Linked DNA regions of Nothobranchius furzeri. The protein of the gene in region 1 purifies or fractionates together with the protein of each later gene. This does not show direct contact. Links are inferred from orthologs where the notes say so. Each region holds a gene or a part of one and is shown in the gene's direction. Other genes may lie near its edges.

Evidence for each region.
Region 2: the proteins of derl1 (region 1) and faf2 purify together in Homo sapiens (affinity purification with western blotting; 4 studies listed by BioGRID and IntAct, with this or other methods). This does not show direct contact. The link is inferred for Nothobranchius furzeri from reciprocal best matches to the Homo sapiens genes DERL1 and FAF2.
Region 3: the proteins of derl1 (region 1) and rnf5 purify together in Homo sapiens (affinity purification with western blotting; 4 studies listed by BioGRID and IntAct, with this or other methods). This does not show direct contact. The link is inferred for Nothobranchius furzeri from reciprocal best matches to the Homo sapiens genes DERL1 and RNF5.
Region 4: the proteins of derl1 (region 1) and tmem129 purify together in Homo sapiens (affinity purification with western blotting; 3 studies listed by BioGRID). This does not show direct contact. The link is inferred for Nothobranchius furzeri from reciprocal best matches to the Homo sapiens genes DERL1 and TMEM129.
Region 5: the proteins of derl1 (region 1) and amfra purify together in Homo sapiens (affinity purification with western blotting; 4 studies listed by BioGRID, with this or other methods). This does not show direct contact. The link is inferred for Nothobranchius furzeri from reciprocal best matches to the Homo sapiens genes DERL1 and AMFR.

Annotation. Positions count from the first base shown.
Region 1 is NC_091745.1:56,656,333-56,660,473, reverse strand, and holds the start of derl1 (derlin-1), read left to right. Parts: upstream 1-1,283; 5' UTR 1,284-1,438; coding exon 1,439-1,591; intron 1,592-2,327; coding exon 2,328-2,439; intron 2,440-2,519; coding exon 2,520-2,584; intron 2,585-3,145; coding exon 3,146-3,172; intron 3,173-3,267; coding exon 3,268-3,363; intron 3,364-3,638; coding exon 3,639-3,691; intron 3,692-3,783; coding exon 3,784-3,894; intron 3,895-4,071; coding exon 4,072-4,141. UniProt on the Homo sapiens protein: Functional component of endoplasmic reticulum-associated degradation (ERAD) for misfolded lumenal proteins. Forms homotetramers which encircle a large channel traversing the endoplasmic reticulum (ER) membrane.
Region 2 is NC_091742.1:44,986,765-44,990,050, reverse strand, and holds the end of faf2 (FAS-associated factor 2), read left to right. Parts: intron 1-170; coding exon 171-262; intron 263-1,436; coding exon 1,437-1,614; intron 1,615-1,704; coding exon 1,705-1,876; intron 1,877-1,958; coding exon 1,959-2,102; intron 2,103-2,208; coding exon 2,209-2,391; 3' UTR 2,392-2,613; downstream 2,614-3,286. UniProt on the Homo sapiens protein: Plays an important role in endoplasmic reticulum-associated degradation (ERAD) that mediates ubiquitin-dependent degradation of misfolded endoplasmic reticulum proteins.
Region 3 is NC_091759.1:8,560,365-8,564,479, reverse strand, and holds the start of rnf5 (E3 ubiquitin-protein ligase RNF5), read left to right. Parts: upstream 1-1,281; 5' UTR 1,282-1,611; coding exon 1,612-1,817; intron 1,818-3,973; coding exon 3,974-3,992; intron 3,993-4,115. UniProt on the Homo sapiens protein: Membrane-bound E3 ubiquitin-protein ligase that mediates ubiquitination of target proteins. May function together with E2 ubiquitin-conjugating enzymes UBE2D1/UBCH5A and UBE2D2/UBC4.
Region 4 is NC_091741.1:108,954,656-108,959,037, forward strand, and holds the start of tmem129 (E3 ubiquitin-protein ligase TM129), read left to right. Parts: upstream 1-1,451; 5' UTR 1,452-1,596; coding exon 1,597-1,822; intron 1,823-1,914; coding exon 1,915-1,973; intron 1,974-4,146; coding exon 4,147-4,382. Other genes in the region: igbp1 (immunoglobulin-binding protein 1), read right to left, coding at 331-795.
Region 5 is NC_091749.1:54,415,032-54,418,711, forward strand, and holds part of amfra (E3 ubiquitin-protein ligase AMFR), read left to right. Parts: intron 1-1,135; coding exon 1,136-1,268; intron 1,269-1,583; coding exon 1,584-1,717; intron 1,718-1,819; coding exon 1,820-1,930; intron 1,931-2,018; coding exon 2,019-2,215; intron 2,216-2,287; coding exon 2,288-2,391; intron 2,392-3,680. UniProt on the Homo sapiens protein: E3 ubiquitin-protein ligase that mediates the polyubiquitination of lysine and cysteine residues on target proteins, such as CD3D, CYP3A4, CFTR, INSIG1, SOAT2/ACAT2 and APOB for proteasomal degradation.

The DNA of each region.
Region 1 (4,141 bases):
TGGGTTTATTTGCATCTGTCTGAACATCTGTCCTCTTCAGGTTTGTGTTCATCCACCACACTATGGGCAAGCACAATTTCAAGCATAATGCAATAAATACAACCGAAAAACATTAAATTATCATTTTAATCATTATGATACATTCTAACATATAAAACAGGTTACGCTAGACGAATCTTCTCCAGGATAACATCTTCCTACTCTTGCTTAAAATGCTGATAATTTATTGTCCATCCATTCATTCATTTTCTTCTGCCTATCTGGGGATGGGTCATGAGGGCATTATGTTCCAGAGTCTAATTTTCAGATTAGCATGAAACATGCAAATCAAATAAACACCAGCAGATAAAGCAGATCCATCACTCATTCCTGGCTACTGGATCTGTTCCATCGAAACAGGACAGAAAAAGTACAATAATCAACAAAAAATAAAAACAAACAAACAAACCACATCAATGCAAGGCTATGCTATCAGACAAATTGCCACAGCATAAAAAGTCACCAGTACTTAACAAAAAAAATTGTAATGTGATTTTTTTTTATTTCCAAAGGTGTGAACGCATCACTTTCAAAAGGTGCATGTAAGCTCCTGAACAAGACACGCCCCTTTACTTTGTTGGCTTCTTCTGAGTGGTTTAGAATCTGCTTTGCAAATTTAACAGGAAATGATTTGAAAACATCTAGAAAGTCTCCTTAGATAATTACGGTATATCCGGTTCTCATTCTGTCCTTCAAAATAAGAGCGCTGCTGTTCAAAATGAAATAAATTACTGATGATATAAGTTAATGAGATAATGCATATGGTTTAGCAAAAACTATGTTCTGCATCAATTGTATTCCAATGAAAAGTTATTGTTTGAATCTTGACTTACGCAAAAGGTAAAAAAGAAGAATTTTTGAAAATCGTGTTCTAAAAAGACAATTTAAAAAATACCAGTATTTTTGTACACATTTAAAGAAATTTTATTTTGTTTCATTTTATTGTTGTGTCCTTTTTTTATTGAAATTGATACATTTAAAAAATGTTTGTTCACGTTTGTGTATTCAGTATTTAGCATGTCACATTGTGCCCATTTCGTTGCATCTTACCCAATTCTGTGAATTGAACCAGAATAAAGGATATACTGTATTTTTCTAACTTTTTTTTATATCATCTGTTTTTCTTTTACTATCTAGTTTCACAGGCTTTCTGAATCTCGGCCTTTAAAAAAAAGTTCCTTTTTATTTTGAAAAGCTGTACCGGAACTTTTCGTTCTGAAAGTGAGCTCTGCAAATGCAAAGCTGTGATTAGCCCTTAGCCACGTCACGTAAACTTAGCAGTGGACGAGCTAATCGTTCAAGACTAAAGACTTGTAGTTTTAAGAGGTCCTGGGTTCTTTTCAAAGTGACTTTTTTTTTACATTTCGGACTTGTAGGTTAGCAGAAGACTTTTGAGAAGATGTCGGACATCGGGAACTGGTTCAGAAGCATCCCTTTAATCACCCGGTGGTGGTTCGCTGCTTCCATTGCTTTTCCTTTGATAGGAAGACTAGGATTGGTTTATCATAGCAACCTTGTGCTTATTCCGGAGCTCGTCTTTAACAAATTTCAGGTACGCACTTCAGTGATTTGTTCATCCGTGTCGGCAAAAGGATCAGTTATCATTTTTTACTCTCTGTTTATGTATTCGGTTAGCTAGCAGGTGGCTAACCATGACAGGCCTGAATCCCGACATGGCAGGATCTGTTTTCCGGATGCTGTCTATAAAACTCAGTGCGTGTTATTCGGGTGTTATTACATAAATACTAGGTTCAGAAAGATGTTCTGAAATGTCACCAAAAAAAGAAAAAACAAACAAAAAAAAACACGGAGTTTTAATGTGACAAAATACCAGCGTTAGATGATTTGATAAAGGACAGCTATTTTGTTTTTAGTATGCTGTTCTCACGGCGTCCACAAGGCGGCGACAATGTCTTGAGTAGTGACGAAGCGTGTTGGGCATTGTCTCTGGCTGCTGGAGCTTCAATATCAGATACAGGAAAGAATGTCGGATTTTAGGCGCAGGATTTCAATTCAGTTAAAAATACTTTATTTGAAACGCTAACTGCACGTGCTTGTTTATTATTATACAGGAGATCACATAACTCATTAAACGAATTTAACACCTTAAATTAAAATGCAAATTCCATTAATAGGCAAATAGACCTTCGGCTAAAATGTTTGTGTTGATCCTGCTTTATGTAAAGATCTTCACCCTTTAATTATCCTTATTTGTAATCTACGGGGTGCTGACTGTGTCAATATCACATAGTATTTTGAGGATTAATGCTTGTTTTTATTTGTTTCAGCTCTGGAGGCCAGTCACTGCCACCTTTTATTTTCCCATCACCCCTCAAACCGGATTCCTTTATTTGGTCAACCTTTATTTTTTGTACCATTACTCCACTCGGCTGGAGACATGTAAGACCGCTGCCATCCTGTGACTACTCCTCTCTGTAGTTTAAATGTTCTCTGCATCTGATGTTTTTTGTGTTTTTCAGCTGAGTTTAATGGCAGACCTGCAGACTATGTTTTTATGCTGCTCTTTAACTGGATCTGCATTCTTGTATCCTTTAACCAGCGCCCATTTAAGCCATAAGCTGTAAGCTTTTTACAATCAGAGGTGTATGGCGTTTCCTCCTGTATTTTTTCCTCTCCTTCCTGCACCTCTTCTCTCTCTGCAGCAGTGTACAATGTCAGGGTGGCTCTGTGCCAGTGGCCCAGTGTCAGTCTACCCCTGCAGAGTGGAGAAACCTAATCTAGGTTACATGCAGCACCAGCAGTCCAGCCCACACCTTAGCTCCATGCTGCTTTGTCGGGAGTTCAGCCCTGATTGTTAGCTCCTAAGGCTTTTCATAGCTATTTCTTAGCTATAAGATTGAAGAATAACATTTATCCACAAAAATATTTGGCTTTTACTGCAGGAAGAGGTAGGAATAAATACGATATTGAAGGAGTGATGGCCCCAGATCCCTTATTCTGAAGTGGAGAAGGCAGATGTGACTGCTAGGTCCTTTAAGAGCTGAAGTGGGGATTGAAGTGGGCGACCGTCCCACGAGCAGCTGCTCTGATCCTGAAATTCCAAATGATTCCAGCGTGTTGTCCTTGACTTGGAGTGTGTGTGTAGATAACTGCGATGCTGATGAACATGCATGTGAGTTTTCTTCTGTATTTACACCAAAACATGAGTTATGGACTACTTCACTCAAAGCTACAGCTGAACTAGAGCTTTAACGTCTGTGTTCTCAGCTGCTGATGATCCCGCTGATCCTGTCCGCGCTGTACGTCTGGGCTCAGTTCAACAAAAACACCATCGTCTCCTTCTGGTTCGGAACACGTTTCAAGGTATTCTCCTCAGAACTGTAAACGGCAACATCAGGACAAACACTAGGGAGGGGTAGGGGATGGATTAAGACCTGGCATTCCCTACAGGAATCACCTGCTGCCTCAAACACCACAGATCAACACTTCTCCTTATGCTGAGAAATTAAACTTTTAGATGTTAATCAGTTAATCATTGTCTGGCCGTTGCTTCAAAATTCACACAGTAGCTCACAATTGTGGTTGCTAAGCAGCAGCAGATATCTACACCTACTGACGAGGGGTGTGCTCTGTTCTAGGCTCATTATCTACCGTGGGTCATCTTGGCCTTCAACTTTATCATCGGAGGCTCGTAAGTCTCATTTCTAACTGAATTCTGTTATGATTATCAAGCAGCTTGCTGTTATGGTGCTCCTGTGACCTTTGACCCTCCATTTTATGCAGATTTGTGAACGAGCTGACGGGGAACCTGGTGGGCCACCTTTACTTCTTCCTGATGTACAAGTATCCCATGGATCTGGGAGGACGCTCCTTCCTCTCCACACCAGAGTTCTTGTAAGACTTAGAAGGAAAAACTTCCACTTTTGATATAAATCATCACAGCTGGTGTGATTACTCCGTTCTTACTGAAGCTGTGCTTTTTACCTTCGCTTTCTGAATTGGATTCATGGATTTGTTCCTCCAGATTACCTTGAATTATATTTTTACTGAGCACCTCCCTCCCATGTGCAGGCATCGGTTCTTCCCCAATCACAGAGAAGTGTCAGGCTTTGGAGCTGTTCCGGGACGGAGGCCTGCTGCC
Region 2 (3,286 bases), on another chromosome or scaffold:
TGAAGTTCTCTGATCTGGTCATTCTCTAGATTCTGAAACAGAGTGTGACGTACGAGGCCTTCATTCCTGCTAGAGACCTCTGCAGATGCACTGATTAATGAGTGAACCACACCTTAACTGTTAGATGAGGTGAACATATTCATCCTTTCCTCTGATCTGTGGCTCCTCAGCTCCACGTTATGTACAGAAGAGGTCATAACCTTCCTCAACACACGGATGCTCTTCTGGGCATGTTCCACCAGCAAGCCCGAGGGCTACCGAGGTGTGTATGCCCGTTCATTCGTTCATCTGTTATCAGTGTGACCCCGGCTTTCCACAGCAGCCGTCAGCAGCACGTTACTGCAGCAGCACGTCATAGCTGCTGATAGGAACGGCTGTGGTCAACAGAACCTTTTCCACAGGAGCCGTCAGCAGCTGTCAGCAGCACGAGTCGGCCGCGTCTCAGGAGCAGCATGTCGCGGCCTTTACGCGCCGGTTCTATTTCCTACGCGCGACGCCTCTGAAACGGGTCAAGTTCGACATTTTTGGGGAAGGAAAGACAGGAAATCGGACGCGGAAATGGAGAGAAGCTCCCGAAATTTTCAGAATAAAGAACGTACTGCCTTCCGGTCGCTTTACTTTAAAAAAGGTTACTAACTGTGCGGCCCCGTGAGAAGTTATCACCTAGCTAGCGGTCTCCTTTGTTTTTCAGGTCCGTATCGGCGATTATAAAACGGACAGAATATAAAAACACAAACATTTTGGAGCCATGTTGTAGTTTTCTCCTGCTTGTTGTTGTGTTTACTGACGAAGTCACTCGTGTGACTTCGTGCCCTGTCGGTGACAGCTGCTCCTCTGCTGCGTCGCGTCTCGTGGGAAGGGCCAAGCAGCAGCTAGACGTGCTGCTGCAGTAACGTGCTGCTGACGGCTCCCGTGGAAACCTGGGGTAAGTCTGGCTGCTCTGAAAACAACAAACACTCTGATATCACTGGTAAACAACATGTTGAGACCAGGGCTGGGCAATAAATCCACTCTTACCGAGATAATTGTTCCCGTCTCAGGAATGAGATGAGAACATGAAATATGTGTGTGAGCTGGCAACATTCATGTCCTGTAAGAAGCTGCACCACCTTCAGTGGCATACCAGTGTGACTCAACCTGGAACACGTGACATCTAGTGGACAACTGTTGTTCCTGCACACACCTGTAGTTCTAGTCTGTTCATCGCTAGCGAGGTGAAATCCTCTATATGTCGTGATATTAGTTGTAGGCCATGCCGCCCAGCCCTAGTTCAGACCCATGTGGAGTCCCCAAAGCTAGAAGCTAGTGCTGCTTTTCTGTCCTACAGGGACTCTTCTGTTAGCTTGAGTGGCTACAAAAACATTAAGATCCGTGCAGAAGCGTGGTAATAATGGTAGTCCACTGGGCTTTTGTGTAACAATGGTTTCTATACCAAGTGTCCCAAGCGTTGCGGGAGAACACCTACCCATTCCTGGCCATGATCATGCTAAAGGACCGGAAGATGACCGTGGTGGGTCGGCTCGAGGGTCTGATTCAGCCTGAGGAGCTCATCAATCAGGTCACCTTCATCATGGATGCCAACCAGACATACCTGATGTCAGAGCGCCTTGAGCGGTACGTCAGACCAGCTGGAGTTAGTGAGACCGTCGTCACATTCTCTACAGCTGAAGTAGCAGCGAGTGAAGACTGAAGTGTTGTTTCCAGAGAGGAGAGGAACCAGACCCAGGTGCTGAGGCAGCAGCAGGATGAGGCCTACCTGGCCTCCTTACGCGCCGACCAGGAGAAGGAGAGGAAGAAAAGGGAGGAGCTGGAGCAGAAGAAGCAAGAGGAGGAAAAGGTCCGACAGAGTGCTCTTGCAGAGGAGAGGAGACGAAGAGTGAGTCTGGTCGTCTTCGTTTGTACATGGATACGTTGGTCTTCCCCTACATGTCTGATTCCTGTTGTTGTTTTCACTCCAGACACTAGAAGAGGAGAAGGAGAGGAAGTCGGAGTGCCTTCCTCCAGAACCATCTGCTGATGATCCAGAAAGTGTTAAAATAGTGTTCAAGTTGCCCAACGACACACGAGTAGAGAGGCGGTTCCTGTTCGCTCAGTCTCTGACGGTGAGCGCTGGTGTCTTTGGTCTCCTTCACACGCCTCTGGTCAATGTTTGGTTATTAGACGCTGACATGTGATGAAACATCTACATGTTTCTTCTTCCTTCCACAGGTAATCTACGACTTCCTTTTCTCTTTGAAGGAAACTCCAGAGAAGTTTCAGATCGTGACAAACTTCCCTCGCCGAGTCTTGCCCTGCCTTCCGACTGCAGAGCAGCCCAACCCCCCCACGCTGAAGGAGGCAGGACTCAGTCGCTCCGAGGTCGTTTTTGTTCAGGACCTCACGGACGACTAATAGATGACTTACCTCGTCTACATGGAGACACGTTTATCTCTGACCCACCCATGTTGTTTGGTTTGTTTTGGTAAATGGCCGTTTTACAGAAGGGATGGTTGCTATAGAAACTAACCTGGATCACTAAACCACCCTGCATCCAGTGCTCCTTCACTTGTGTTGACAGGGTTCCCATTAGCCTGCAGTCTTGAATTTTATCAAATAAATATTTCTTGAAGTGGTTCCTTGTGTGGAGAAACTGTTGTTGGTGTTAGCTAACAGTTATCCTCCTCCCAGCAGTGAGACTAAAGCTGCAGCACAACCTCCTCGTCCCACACAAGCTGTCACAACCGAGGAAGACTGGTTGTTAGTTACTCGAGGGGAGTTCCCTGCTGTTTCTCTTGGTTCATGCTTTAGCCCACAACCCCTACAGCGATTATCAAGCACAACTAGCACGGTCCAAGTCTGAAGCAGCTGTGATCGAGAGTTGAAAGGATGGGAACCCTGTTTAAATGAGCCATCACTTGTACATAAGTTAAATATTTAAATGCCCACTATTGTTTTTATTTGACTCGTCATGAAACGACCAAATGCAGGTTTGTTACTATGTAAAGCAGACTGCCTCCAGCTCATGAAGTTAAAACGTACAATATTTAACGAAGGCCACAGCTTTTACATGTGGCTCTATGTAGTTTAGTCTGCCCATAGTGTGCCTGTGGTTACTCATAGATGCCTGTTTTGCCTGTAATATCTGAATGGGCTCATGTAAAGATGTAATTTTCCAACTATAAATTAAACATGTTTTAAAAATGTGGGTTTATTGAATATAAAAGCAGCTTTTTTCTTGATTCGTTTTGAGAACTTGTCTTTAAATCAGCCACTGGTCCGAGTAGCGAGTATACATCATACATTTATT
Region 3 (4,115 bases), on another chromosome or scaffold:
TCACAACGTTACAATAGCAATGTTGTCACAATATCGCAGTGAAGTTGTGGATATGTCGCGACAACCTTCCAGCAATGCTCTATGTGACGTTCTGGCAACGTCGTAGCGGAACTTCACTTTGGAAGTCGCTACTACGTAACATACGACGTTCCTGCAACATCGAATATAGTTTATGATCCTGAAAGAATAAACAACACTTTCAAAAACTTTTACCAAACTTTGTACTCACCACAGACAAACCCATCAGATGCCGAGCTCAATTAATTCCTTGACAGGATAACACTTCCTAAATAGACCCTTTTACTGTTTGTAAACAATATGACGTCAGCGAGAAGGCGCGCGCAGCTTGGCAACAGAGAATGGCGTTGTGTCAGGCTTTATCAAGCTACGCTGCGGGGTTATCACCGGCAAATCTTGAATGTTATATTATTAAACTCACTTTAACGAATCGCAACAGACTCCCGGATCCCTGAGGCATTACGGAATGGGTGGAAGATGTAGGTGCGTGGCCAGATATCCAGTGGCCCGATATATATACGTTTTTAGTGGAGAGGCCCAGTAAGTACACACGTGAGAAGCTACGGGCATACAAATCGTTAGATGCATACAACTATGTTGTCTGTGGCCACGTACAGAAAGTAAAATATCACCACATAGACTCTGAGTTTTGCATCTTGAAGGCAGAAGTCCTTCCTAGCCACAGACGCCTCTGATTTTGTTGAAATGGATGTGCTCCCTTTGGAATTCTGTAAAGTTTCAGTCCAGTGCTTGAAGAGAAGCGATTCTGGCATCCATACACGCAACAACCCGACATTTTTATGTGCTCAGAACTTCAAAACAAAGGGTTTAAAACGCTGTTTTAGTATTGAGTATGAATGAGGAAGCCTTCACTCTCGTTGCCAGGCTGCACGCGCAACTTTTGATGACGTAGGTAGTAAAAGGGTCTATTACCAGACAGCCAAGCTACAATACTGGACTCGCATGACAAGGTGTCAGAAAATACGTTGTGACTACGTTGTTGCAACAGACCTGTGTTGGTAGGGAACAATTACTAAAAGAAGGAAGAAAGAAAACATCTTTTATGTAGCACCTCTCAAAATAAAAATCATAAGGCGCTTCACAAAAACAAATAATTAAGATATAAAGATTTTTTTAAAAATTATGTTTAAATTAGAAAAAAAAATATGAGGAAAGGGAGAGAGAAAATGAATAGGAAAGAAAGAAGAGGCAGAAAGAAAAAAAACTTCTTTATAAAAAGCTGTAAGAAAAAAAATCTGTCTGCACAAAAATAAAACAAGAGTCATTACATATTAGATTGTTTTACGTTCTTTCAAAATAATGGTGTCGAATGTACTATTAAAATATGAACTTGCTTTTGTTATGGCCACGCCCCTTTCCTCGTGTCTAATGCCCGCCCCCGGCCTACGGAGTCAGGGGAAACGGAGTCGGGCGCTTTTAACGGGAGCGCCACCGGGGCTGGTCCGCTCCGTCCAAAGGTCCTTTGTAGCAGCAGCAGCAGCTACCTCTGACTAGCGGTTTACGTTAGCTCGGGCCGGCCCTGTTGGGTTGAGTTGGCTCGGTGTGTTACGCTCTTAAACCAGGTCAGTAAACATGGCGGCCACGAATCCCCGCTTCTCGAGTGACGGTGGGCCGGCCAGCAAAGAAGGGTTCCCGGCTGGAGAGAGCAGCAACGACCGAGACGGACCGGATGGAGGCGGCAACGGCGACAGCCAACGGGACCGAGCCTCGTTCGAGTGCAACATTTGTTTGGACACAGCCAGGGACGCTGTCATCAGCATGTGCGGACACTTGTTCTGGTATGAAACGGTTTTCATGCGTTTGTTTGGCCTCGGTTTACCGATATGTAGTCGATGGCAGAGACACGCCCCGCGACGTCCCGTCTGATCCGAGGCGACAGCGGCCAAAATGGCTCACTGTTCCTGTGCTGGGTGTCCGTTTACTGCCAGCTGGTTTTAGTGGCTCCTGGTGTGAAAGGATGAATGTATGTACTCCTGGTGTGAAAGGATGAATGTATCATGTTATCTGATTTAGTTCCGCCCCGCTCTGCGAGACACAAAAACAAACCACTTTTTCATCAGTTCATTCTGAGTTTGACTAAAATCACTTAATTATGTCACGTTTACAATAAAAATTCAGGCTTTTTTTTGGTGAGATCATTGTTTTTTTTTTTATTTTGGAACATCTGACATGCCAGCAAATCTAAAAATCTCATAAAATTGTTACTTTTTAGGATGCATCTTTTCTGTACCTAAAAGCTGCTTTTAGTGCTTTCTTCTATCAGTGTCACAGAAACTTGCACAAAACCTGACCTTGAAAACTTGTTGAAAATGTACACACAATCACAGGTGTGTGTGTGTGTGTGTGTGTGTGTGTGTGTGTGTGTGTGTGTGTGTGTGTGTGTGTGTGTGTGCGCGCGCGCGCGCGTGATTCACGAACTGTGTGCACTAATGATCTCTTAAGCTAAGGCTAGTGGGAGTTTATAGCCAACAAGTAGGATTGAGGTCAACTGTAGGGTCACTGTGATCAGAAGTGTGTGTGTGTTTGACTGCAGTTATTATTATGCATTTTCCTAAATCTGGACTTTTAAGCATCCTTTCTGGGTGACATTGCAGTTTTGCCTCTAAAGCGTGTGCACAACAGTTGTGTTTGAATCATTTTCCAAACCGAAGTAACCACAAACTTGTAGAGACTTGTAGAGCTAAAAATCTGGCAACTATTTTATGCACACGTCTTATTTATGCATAATTTCATGCACTCTTTGACTTTGGACTTTGTCTAAGGGGGGGGGGGGAATAGTTGAGCCGTAAATTCCCTCATGTTTATCTAAATGTTAATGTTTCTAAGTCTTTGGCTAGAAAACCCGTTTCTGGACTCTGGACATCTGGAATTTAGATGTTCTGTATTATGTTGATCATTTTTTGGTCATTGGGATAATTTCCTGCTGCACATTTGTGAGCGATGCAGTTGCTATGTTACGTCGGTCCTTCTGCTCCTGGGACTCAAGTGCAGTGTGATGAAACTTTTCAGCAAGAAGGACAAGAGCTGACATCAGTTAATCTGCTGCAACTTCAGATTAATCTTACAGCAGCGCATTAGTACAGTTAATTAAAACACACAGGGGGTTAAAGTTCAAATGTGTTAGAAGTCCCTGTAATTGTTGCTCTTAATTGGTCTTTGTGTTCAAATGGTTCTGAAATCATAAAACAAATGAGTTTAGCAGATAATGTTAGTTTGTGTCGACTAAAATGTCAATTCAGGTTGCAGAAATCACATCTTTATTCACTTTTTCTGGTCGATTTAACCCGTTTCTGTGTCTGTTGCCTTTGGACTTTGATCAGCTGTTTTGTGTTTACAGGAGCACACACACACACCCATCAGGTCATGTGACTCAGCTGGTTTCTGTTGTTTTCACATGACGTCATTTAAATAACTCGGTTTGAGTACTTCGCAGTCGTGAATACAGGATTAACTAATCCAAATCCCTGCCTTATTTGGAAATGATAAAAGTCAGTAAACAAACCAAGGACTTTTTAACCCTCCCACTGTCCTAACGGGTGACCCTGCGAGGAAAGTTGACCATAGAGCAGGATTGATGGCGGGAGGGTTGAGTAAAACACCTTCCTTAGGAGGGAGCGTTATGCTACCTGGGGACTTTGTGGACATGCTCTTCAACACATCTGTGGGTGTGGGTGTGTATGTGTGTGTGTGTGTGTTGGGAATTTCTTCCAAAATCATGGAGCACCAACATTATTCCCACATCGCATTAGCAGGTTGGCCTCTCCAACCTTTGATGACAGATGGAGCCAATTAAAACAAACGAATGGGAGCAGTACTGGTTTTAGGAGGTTTTTCAAGACTAATCTAATCCCAAAAAAATGAATCTGCTCAGGAAATGTCACAGATCTGAGCTGCTGTGAAAATGTAAAATAATCCCGTCTCTCTCTCTCTACAGCTGGCCCTGTCTTCACCAAGTAAGTACTTCCTCTCTCTCATCTTTTTACAGGCTGATTTAATCAGATCAGGCTCACCCAATCTCCTTTAATCCACATTAAATAATGTCTGTTGTTTTGTTTTTTTATCTTAAGTGTTGTAAC
Region 4 (4,382 bases), on another chromosome or scaffold:
TTAGACCCAACAGAACCACGTTTCGGGCTGCACAGCGGCACCGTGGTTAGAGCTGTTGTCTTGCAGCAAGGCGGTCCTGGGTTCGCTAACAGGTCTGGGATCTTTCTGCATGGAGTTAGCATGTTCTCCCTGTGCATGCGTGGGTTCTCTACGGGTACTCCGGCTTCCTCCCGCAGTCCAAAAACATGACTGTTAGGTTGACTAGTCTGTCTAAATTGCCCTTAGGTGTGGGTGTGGGTGGGTGTGTGTGTGTGCACCAGCCCCTCCGCGACCCTACATGGACAAGCGGGTTCAGACAATGGATGGATGGAGAACCACGTTTCCACTCACCGTGGCGTTAGAGGACCCGGGGGCCGACACTTCTTCCGGACTGGAAGAGGACTTATGAGGCATCTCGAACTGGGATACGTTGTAATCACGGCACCTCTGGAGGAAGTCCATGTAGTACACCCGGGCAGCCTGGACTGCCTCTAGCCGTTTCTCCCGGCTGGTCCTCTTCATGTGGAGGGCTCCTAACAAGGCGGGAAGCAGCAGGTACTTCAGGTCTGCCGTAGCGACCTCCTCCAAGTCCTCATTCCGGCTGAACAGGGCTAGCTGAGCGACCATCCTGGACGCGTCCTCCAGCATCCGAATCCCGCTTCTTACGCTTTCTTGGACGCTGGTGGAGGCGACGGGCTCGTTGGTTCTGTCCACCTCCTCAAATATTTTCCAACCGCTCTCCAGTAAGTCCGACAGCTTCAGAACATCCAAGTCTACTGGTGGCCCCGAGCCTGGACGGGCATCGCTGTCCGCCATCTTGTTCGTGTTTACTTCTGCTGCTGCGTCACCGCCTCCGTTCTTCTTCTTCTTCTTTTTTTTTTAAGGTGGATCCAGTTTTTAAATTGTAATTTTGTGCACTTTTGCCCCCTGTAGTATGGTTGAAATATTAATTTAATCTTTATTCAAAATTCTGTTTTATACAATAATAAATGGTCCTTTTGAAAAAAAAAAATTCTTGAGTGATTTTGTAATTTTTGATGTACATCTGAAATTGAGTTTTTTAAATGTACGAGTGTAAATAAAACATGCTCTGCTGTCTCATCTTAGTTATCACTGTCTGTGATTGATACTTGTTTTGGTTAAAGTCTTTTCTGCTCACCAGTTTCTTTAGGTTTTATTTGAATATAATTTAATTTTTACACCCTTTGACCTTTCCTTTTATGATGTGAACACAAACATAAACAACAATTAGCTACATTCAAAGGGACAGCTGGGGAGAGAATCATGATCATAAATGATAAAGAACGGCAGAGTCAAAACTATAAATGTTAGCCATCATGATGGTGACCTTGGTTGTCGTGGTTCAACTCCACCAGCAGATGTCGCTATAACTGAAAAGCATAGTTGCTTCATGAAGCCTTACTAGCATACCGACATGAGTAACTGACGTTCACTTGCTCCAGCACGCTTAACTGGAAGAGTTCAACCCTGGACACTGTATATAAATAAACTATAAAAAGCGTATATATGATATATTTGTTCCGTCGGACACAATACAATAGCTAACCCTCTCGCGAAAGGGTCACGTGGTAAAAGACGTGTGCGGAAGTGGAGTAGATGGCGCAGGGGCAGAATGACGAGCCCAGAGTTATCCTTTACTTTAGCGTATGTTACGTTCGCGATCTGCATCATTTTCACCCCCGACGAGTTTCGGTCCGCCGGGCTGACCGTCCAGAATGTCTTCTCGTCCTGGCTGGGCAGCGAGGACGTGGACTTCCTCCGTTACCACCTGAGAAGGATCAGCGTCACCATCCTGGTCCAGTCCGCGCTGCCTCTAGGTCAGGTAACCCCCTGGTGCAGCGGCTCAGGTGTGAGCTGAGGAGAGCGGGTTGTTCTGGACGTCTGTGCTGGGCTCATGTTGTGTGTCTTCTGAAGGTTACTACTTGGGGATGTGCGTCGCTGCTCCCGAGAAACACCTCAGCTCCTTCTACCAGGTCGGTCCTCATGTTCTCCAGACCTGAAGATCTTTAGTTGTTAACTGGTGTTTGAGTTCAAATGCTGATCTGGTAGCAGCACCACAGAGGAGTGAATTCTTCAGGATTATCAAGGCACCATTAGTTGTTTTCTTGAGCCATCACTCCAACCGCCTCCCCCCTTGTGTGAAGCAGCTACAGACCCCGGAGGCGTAATTTGCATTTGAGCCTGAATCCGCAGACTCCGGGTCTGATATCCAAGGAAGATCCTGCTTTTCTCACCTCTGATTGGCTAGAAGGCAGGGAAGGTTCTAGACTAACCTTAGTTGGGGGGGCCAGGCTGGAGCCCGCTGCTCATTTAGAAGCACATTAATAAGAAGACACCATGTTGCTGTCATTAAACACTAAAAATTGTAATTAAAGTCCATATTTGTAATAACAGCAATTTAGTTACAGTTGTTTTAGATTTTCTACATAGAACTATTTTACAAAAACACTTTGGAATCCGCCTCAGTGACAACATGAAAATCTCAGCATCCCTCATCAGCTTCCAATAACTTCAAGCTTTGATTCCTCATCTTGCATTAAGCTAAATTATCAAAATGATTTAATAAATAAATAAAATAAATATCAACTCATTAATGCTTATAATCTGCTCTCAACAGGGGTGGCACGGGGGGGTCCAAGCTTGCTGTAGGGGTGGCACTGACCCACACTTGAAACCCCATAGAACCGCCCCTGCTAGACGGGCTCTGCTTTGATTGGCTATTTCGTTTAGCAGGAAACCGTCTTCCTTCGCTAAGGGCCATGAGATACTTGCTGTTTAACCACGAGAAAGCATGTTTTAAAATGGCTGCCACACGTTATTTGCGTTGATTTGAAGCATCGTTTGTGCACGTCCCCCAAAATTAATGCGACACATCCAAACGCTGCAATATACGAGTAACCAGTAGGTGGAGTTGACAAAACAAGCAAGACAGACTTGCCATGGTGTCTCCGTCTCTGGTTCTGAGGTCTTGCACACCATCTACGGTACTGCTGCAGTTTTTTTGGTCTTTTTCTGTCGTGATCTCAAAATTAACCAGTTAGTGAGCTCTTTTACTGACACCATGCTCATTTTGGTTGTGCCCACAAACCCGGCTCTCTATCCAGTCTGAGTTCTCTAGTGTGCCCCTAGTGGAACACTCCGGTACTACATGCAACGCAGTGCCACGTAGCAGCAGGTGTGTGAACAAAGACGCAGCCTGCACCAACGCCAGGTTAAACAGCCAGGCCTAGTGCAGACTGTCCTCCTGCCACCAACACAACAGCTGTTTGGGGGAGTTTTGTAAAGAAAATGCGAACATGGCACTATAAAAACCATTCTGTCCTGTTTTGCTAAAATAGTTTTTCCATTTCTTTTACTTAAAAACTCTGAAAAACATTAAATGTGAACTTGTCATCAATCTTATTGCATTTATCACACTTTTGGACTTACTTTATAATGACTCAAGCATTGAGGTTATCTTGTTAAAGCAGAGTACAGTGATCCCTCGCTACTTCGCGGTTCGTTCATCGCGGATTTTTTCTTTGGAGCCTTATTCAAGGGAAATTCGCTGATTCGCATTATTTTTCTATGCGAAATATCAAGAAATTCCTGTTCTTTTTCATCAATTTCTTCATAAAATGCACTTTTTGTAATAAAACTATAAAAAAAACAAGTTAAAAAACATTTTTTTCTTGAGTTTTACCCACAAAAAGAGAATGTGATCATACGATAATTCAATATAGTACTGTACTGTAAATATGGTGTCCCTACTTCGCGGATTTTCACCTATCGCTGCCAGGTCTGGAACGCATCTACCACGATAAACGAGGGATCACTATACATAGGATAAACCGTGTGTGTGTGTGTGTGTGTGTGTGTGTGTGTGTGTGTGTGTGTGTGTGTGTGTGTGTGAAATAAATTAAAACTGCCCTGTTTTGCGCAGCTGTGTGCAGCAGGTCTGTTTCACTTCCAGAATGATGAAAACTGGTGAAAAATAAGTAAATCATTATCAGCCTTGAATTAAATTTCGATTAAATTTAGTCAAACACAATCAGACGACGGGAGACGTGCGGTAACATGCAAACGCCCTTAAGCTATTTCAGTGAAGACCTAAGATAGCCTTTAGTAATAGTAACCACAACAGATACATTTATCTCATTTCACCAGGTGAGTCACAGCTGGAGAGCTTTTCTGCTTTTCGCGGTGTGCTTGCATCTGGCCAGCTGTGCTGTGGTCATCTACTGGTCCTGCTGCCAGTGGCACGGCCATCCCATCAGACGGGCCCTGCAGGCTCATGTGAGGCCTCCTCACTCCAGATGGGGCTCTGTGGCTTCCAGCATCAACACGGAGTTTAGAAGAATAGACAAGTTTGCAGCAGGAGCTCCTGGAGCCAGAGTCATCGT
Region 5 (3,680 bases), on another chromosome or scaffold:
TGAAACTTCCGTTGTTTTATTTGGCTGTGTCAGGTTGGAGGGAATTAAGGTTATTTAAGCGGTTCAGAGTTAATAAAGTGGTAGATATGATGTTTCACAAGGTGCTGCTAGAGTTATGTGAAATCTTACTGCTGATTTTACTATATAAAACATAATAATAATCAACTTCTCCGTCATGTTTGCTCGGAGATGTACGGAGCATCCTGTCCGCTCATTGGTCAGTGAATGAAACCTCCGTTGATTGGTCCTCGTCCGAGCGACAGCAATGAAAAGTTGAAAATGTTTCAACTTTCTGGGATTGCGTCGCTGGGTCGCCTGTGCACGACACGTGCACGAGCGCAAAATTTCACTTGCACGTCTTTCGCGTTTCGCTGAGTAGGAGGGAGACCCGCGATTATCGCTTAGTCGCGCATGTCTCACTGAAAATGAATGGAGGAGAGGCGATGCCGCCTCCCGTGTGTCGAGCCCTTAAGGTGTATAGACAGAGACCCTAAGCTACATTCTGTGACCTAAAATGCTTCGTCCAAGTTAAACAGCTTAAGGGCAATTCTCATCTGTCTTATTTGATCTCATCTGTAGACATTTATTATAATTGGGGATGTCAAATGACTAATTTTTAAATGTAATTAAACATAGGCTGTGAATTCATCAAAATTAATCACTATTTCCAAAAATGACTAAAAAATACCAAATAAAACAAAAAAAATTGAAGACTTGGAAGAGTTGTCCGACACAACGAATCGATGACGCAATTCGTTGCCAACACTTTTAATAATCGATTTTTATCGATTCGTTGTTGCAGCCCTAATCACAGTACATGATAAGATGATCACTTTTACGGAGTTCTGAAAAAGCATACATGATTTCTGAAAGGGTAAAACTCCGGAAAGATACTTTAAGGGGATCAATTTGGAGGTTAAACCACAAAATATTTCTGAGCACGGCCATGCCTGCAGCTCACGACTCCCCCAAGGGATAGGTCCAATGCGGAAAACAAATTTTGCCGGTGTGTGATGACTAATGGGACTTCAATCTTTAAATGCCAGCATCCTCACACACCAAACTGTGTATCACTTGTATTCACAAGATAAAGGTGCTTGCATGCATGCTTCTTTGTATGTGTGTTACTCCTCAGGTACTCCATCCATCTGTGGGATCTGAACCATCCAGGAACTTGGGAAAGCAAAGGCACATATGTGTATTACACAGACTTCATCATGGAGCTGTCTATGCTGTTTCTGGATCTTATGCACCACATCCACATGCTTGTAAGATCTAAAGCTGTTTCCTTATTCTGGGACATCTTTTTACATTCATGTTTTTTTTAAAGCGTTTTGTTATAGAACTCAGATTATCTGTATACACACACACACACACACATAGAATTATTAGAAAAAAAATTGAATGGTTTACATGTGCACTTGTCAGTGTTTTGATCAAATGTGAAGGATTATTTGAAGAGGCATTTGGGAGTAGAAGAGAGGAGACTCGGCTCAGTGAGCTTAGCCAGAGTATCTGAGATCTACGTCTTTATTTAGAATATTTACACAGTTTATTTTCCTCTCCAAATATGTTACTTTCAGCTTTTTGGAAACATCTGGCTTTCCATGGCGAGCTTGGTCATCTTTATGCAGCTGCGCTACCTATTCTATGAGGTCCAGCGCCGCATCCGCAGACACAAGAACTACCTACGAGTCATTAACAACATGGAGGCCAGGTAATAATACATACGTGTACAAAAATGTAGTAATACCATTGTTATTATGTGTGCTTTTGAGTCCTTGTGGGTGCCATTGATTCTTGTTCTAAATGTGTGCAGGTTTGCTGCTGCTACTCCAGACGAGCTGGCAGCCAATAACGATGACTGCGCCATCTGCTGGGACGCCATGCTTACGGCACGAAAACTTCCATGCGGTCATCTCTTTCACAAGTAAACAAGCGCTTCCTTTTTGGTAGCTTCTGTAAAACAAAGTAAAAGCTGCCTATTAGAAACGGTATGCATCCATGTGATTTTGTAGCTCTTGCTTGCGCTCCTGGCTTGAGCAAGATACGTCGTGTCCCACATGTCGAACTTCGCTAAACATCAATGGGGACGGGGTTCAGGTGAGAGGTCAGCCGCAGGGTGGTGCTATGGAGGATAACGTCGGTCCTGCTGGTGCTGCTCTGGAGGGGAGACCACACATCAACCATCACAATCACTTCTTCCACTTCGATGGTAAGTCACCCAAACCCCTAACCGCGACCCGACACGTCTCTGATGGGTTGTGATGTTTATTTATTCTTACAGGATCCCGTATTGCCAGCTGGCTGCCCAGTTTTTCAGTGGAAGTGATGCACACCACTAATATTTTGGGCATCACGCAGGCCAACAACTCTCAGCTCACAGCTATGGTAGGACCACGTTTACTCCCTCTGTGGTTTCATGTGAGATCACACAGAGATCCTGACTGAAGTTGTGTTCTTTTCTTAGTCCTTTTTTAGTTAATAAGTCATTTGTTTTTTAGAATATTTTTACAATAAATGGATTGTATTTTTGTAATAAAAGAAGTGTCAGCATCAAAGCCTCCATCAAATACACCTGATGAAGTTCATTAAACCCCACGTTAGACACTTTCAAGTTAGGAATCTGCTGTAATCTGGGATTGAATAAAACCCACAAGTATTTATTTAATCATTAGGGATGTTCCGATCACGCTGTTTTGGTCCCGACCTGAGTCCGAGTCATTTAATTTTGAGTGTCTGCCGATACCGAGTCCTGATCCGATACTTCTCAGGAAAGCATTAAAATAAGAAGAAATAAAGAAAACATCTGAGTTTTCCTTTAACTTTCACTTTTTTAAGAAGTGCATTGATTAAAAAGCGAGTTTATATTATGAATATATTTAAAAGTGGCAGCGTTGCTCATATTTCAAGTTGTTTACTCCCTCAATATGCAGCTGTGTTGAGAGATGTTTGTTCCCGTGATGGGGCAGGCATGCGGTGCCTTGGCCGTCTGGCTAACTTTTCCTGCACAACACCTGTAGCTACCGAGCAGCTTGGTCCTGCAGGAGACTTAGAAACCCCAACATTCAGCAGCCTGTTTATTTCCCTGTGGGCTGGCTCTGTGCTGTCTGAGTTTGTTGTGAACTGGGAAGGAAACAGGTCGCTTTGTTGACGCCTGAAGGGAAACCCAAATGCAAAAGTAAAGGTTTGAAGGCTGTGAATGCCCAGTATGCAGACATTACAAGTGGCTGTTACACTGCCTTCACTGTTTGGATTAAAATACCACCATATTACGGACAATAAGCAGTAGCCTGCTTGCTAACAGCTGCACCTCGGTGTCTGAATCCCTGCCTGCCGTAAAATCTTGTGACTTTATGGTGTTGTTTTCATACAAGAAACAAATAATGTTGATACAGATGAACTTGTTGAAATTAAAACCAAGTCATTGTTATTCCAATAGAAAATCTCTATTTTGAGATGAATTTAAAATATCATAATTGTTGTTTAAAATCTTTTCCTCCCAATTCCGATCCTTTTAAAATCACATGATCGGAACGTCCCTAAGTTTGACAGATATTTAGTTCTGGTTTTGTCTCGGTAGGAAAGTTTTTGTGACAATTTTAAACAATCAAACAAACGAATCATGACTCTGAAGTATTTTACATCAACAAGTGAACAATTGTTATGCTCAGCCACAT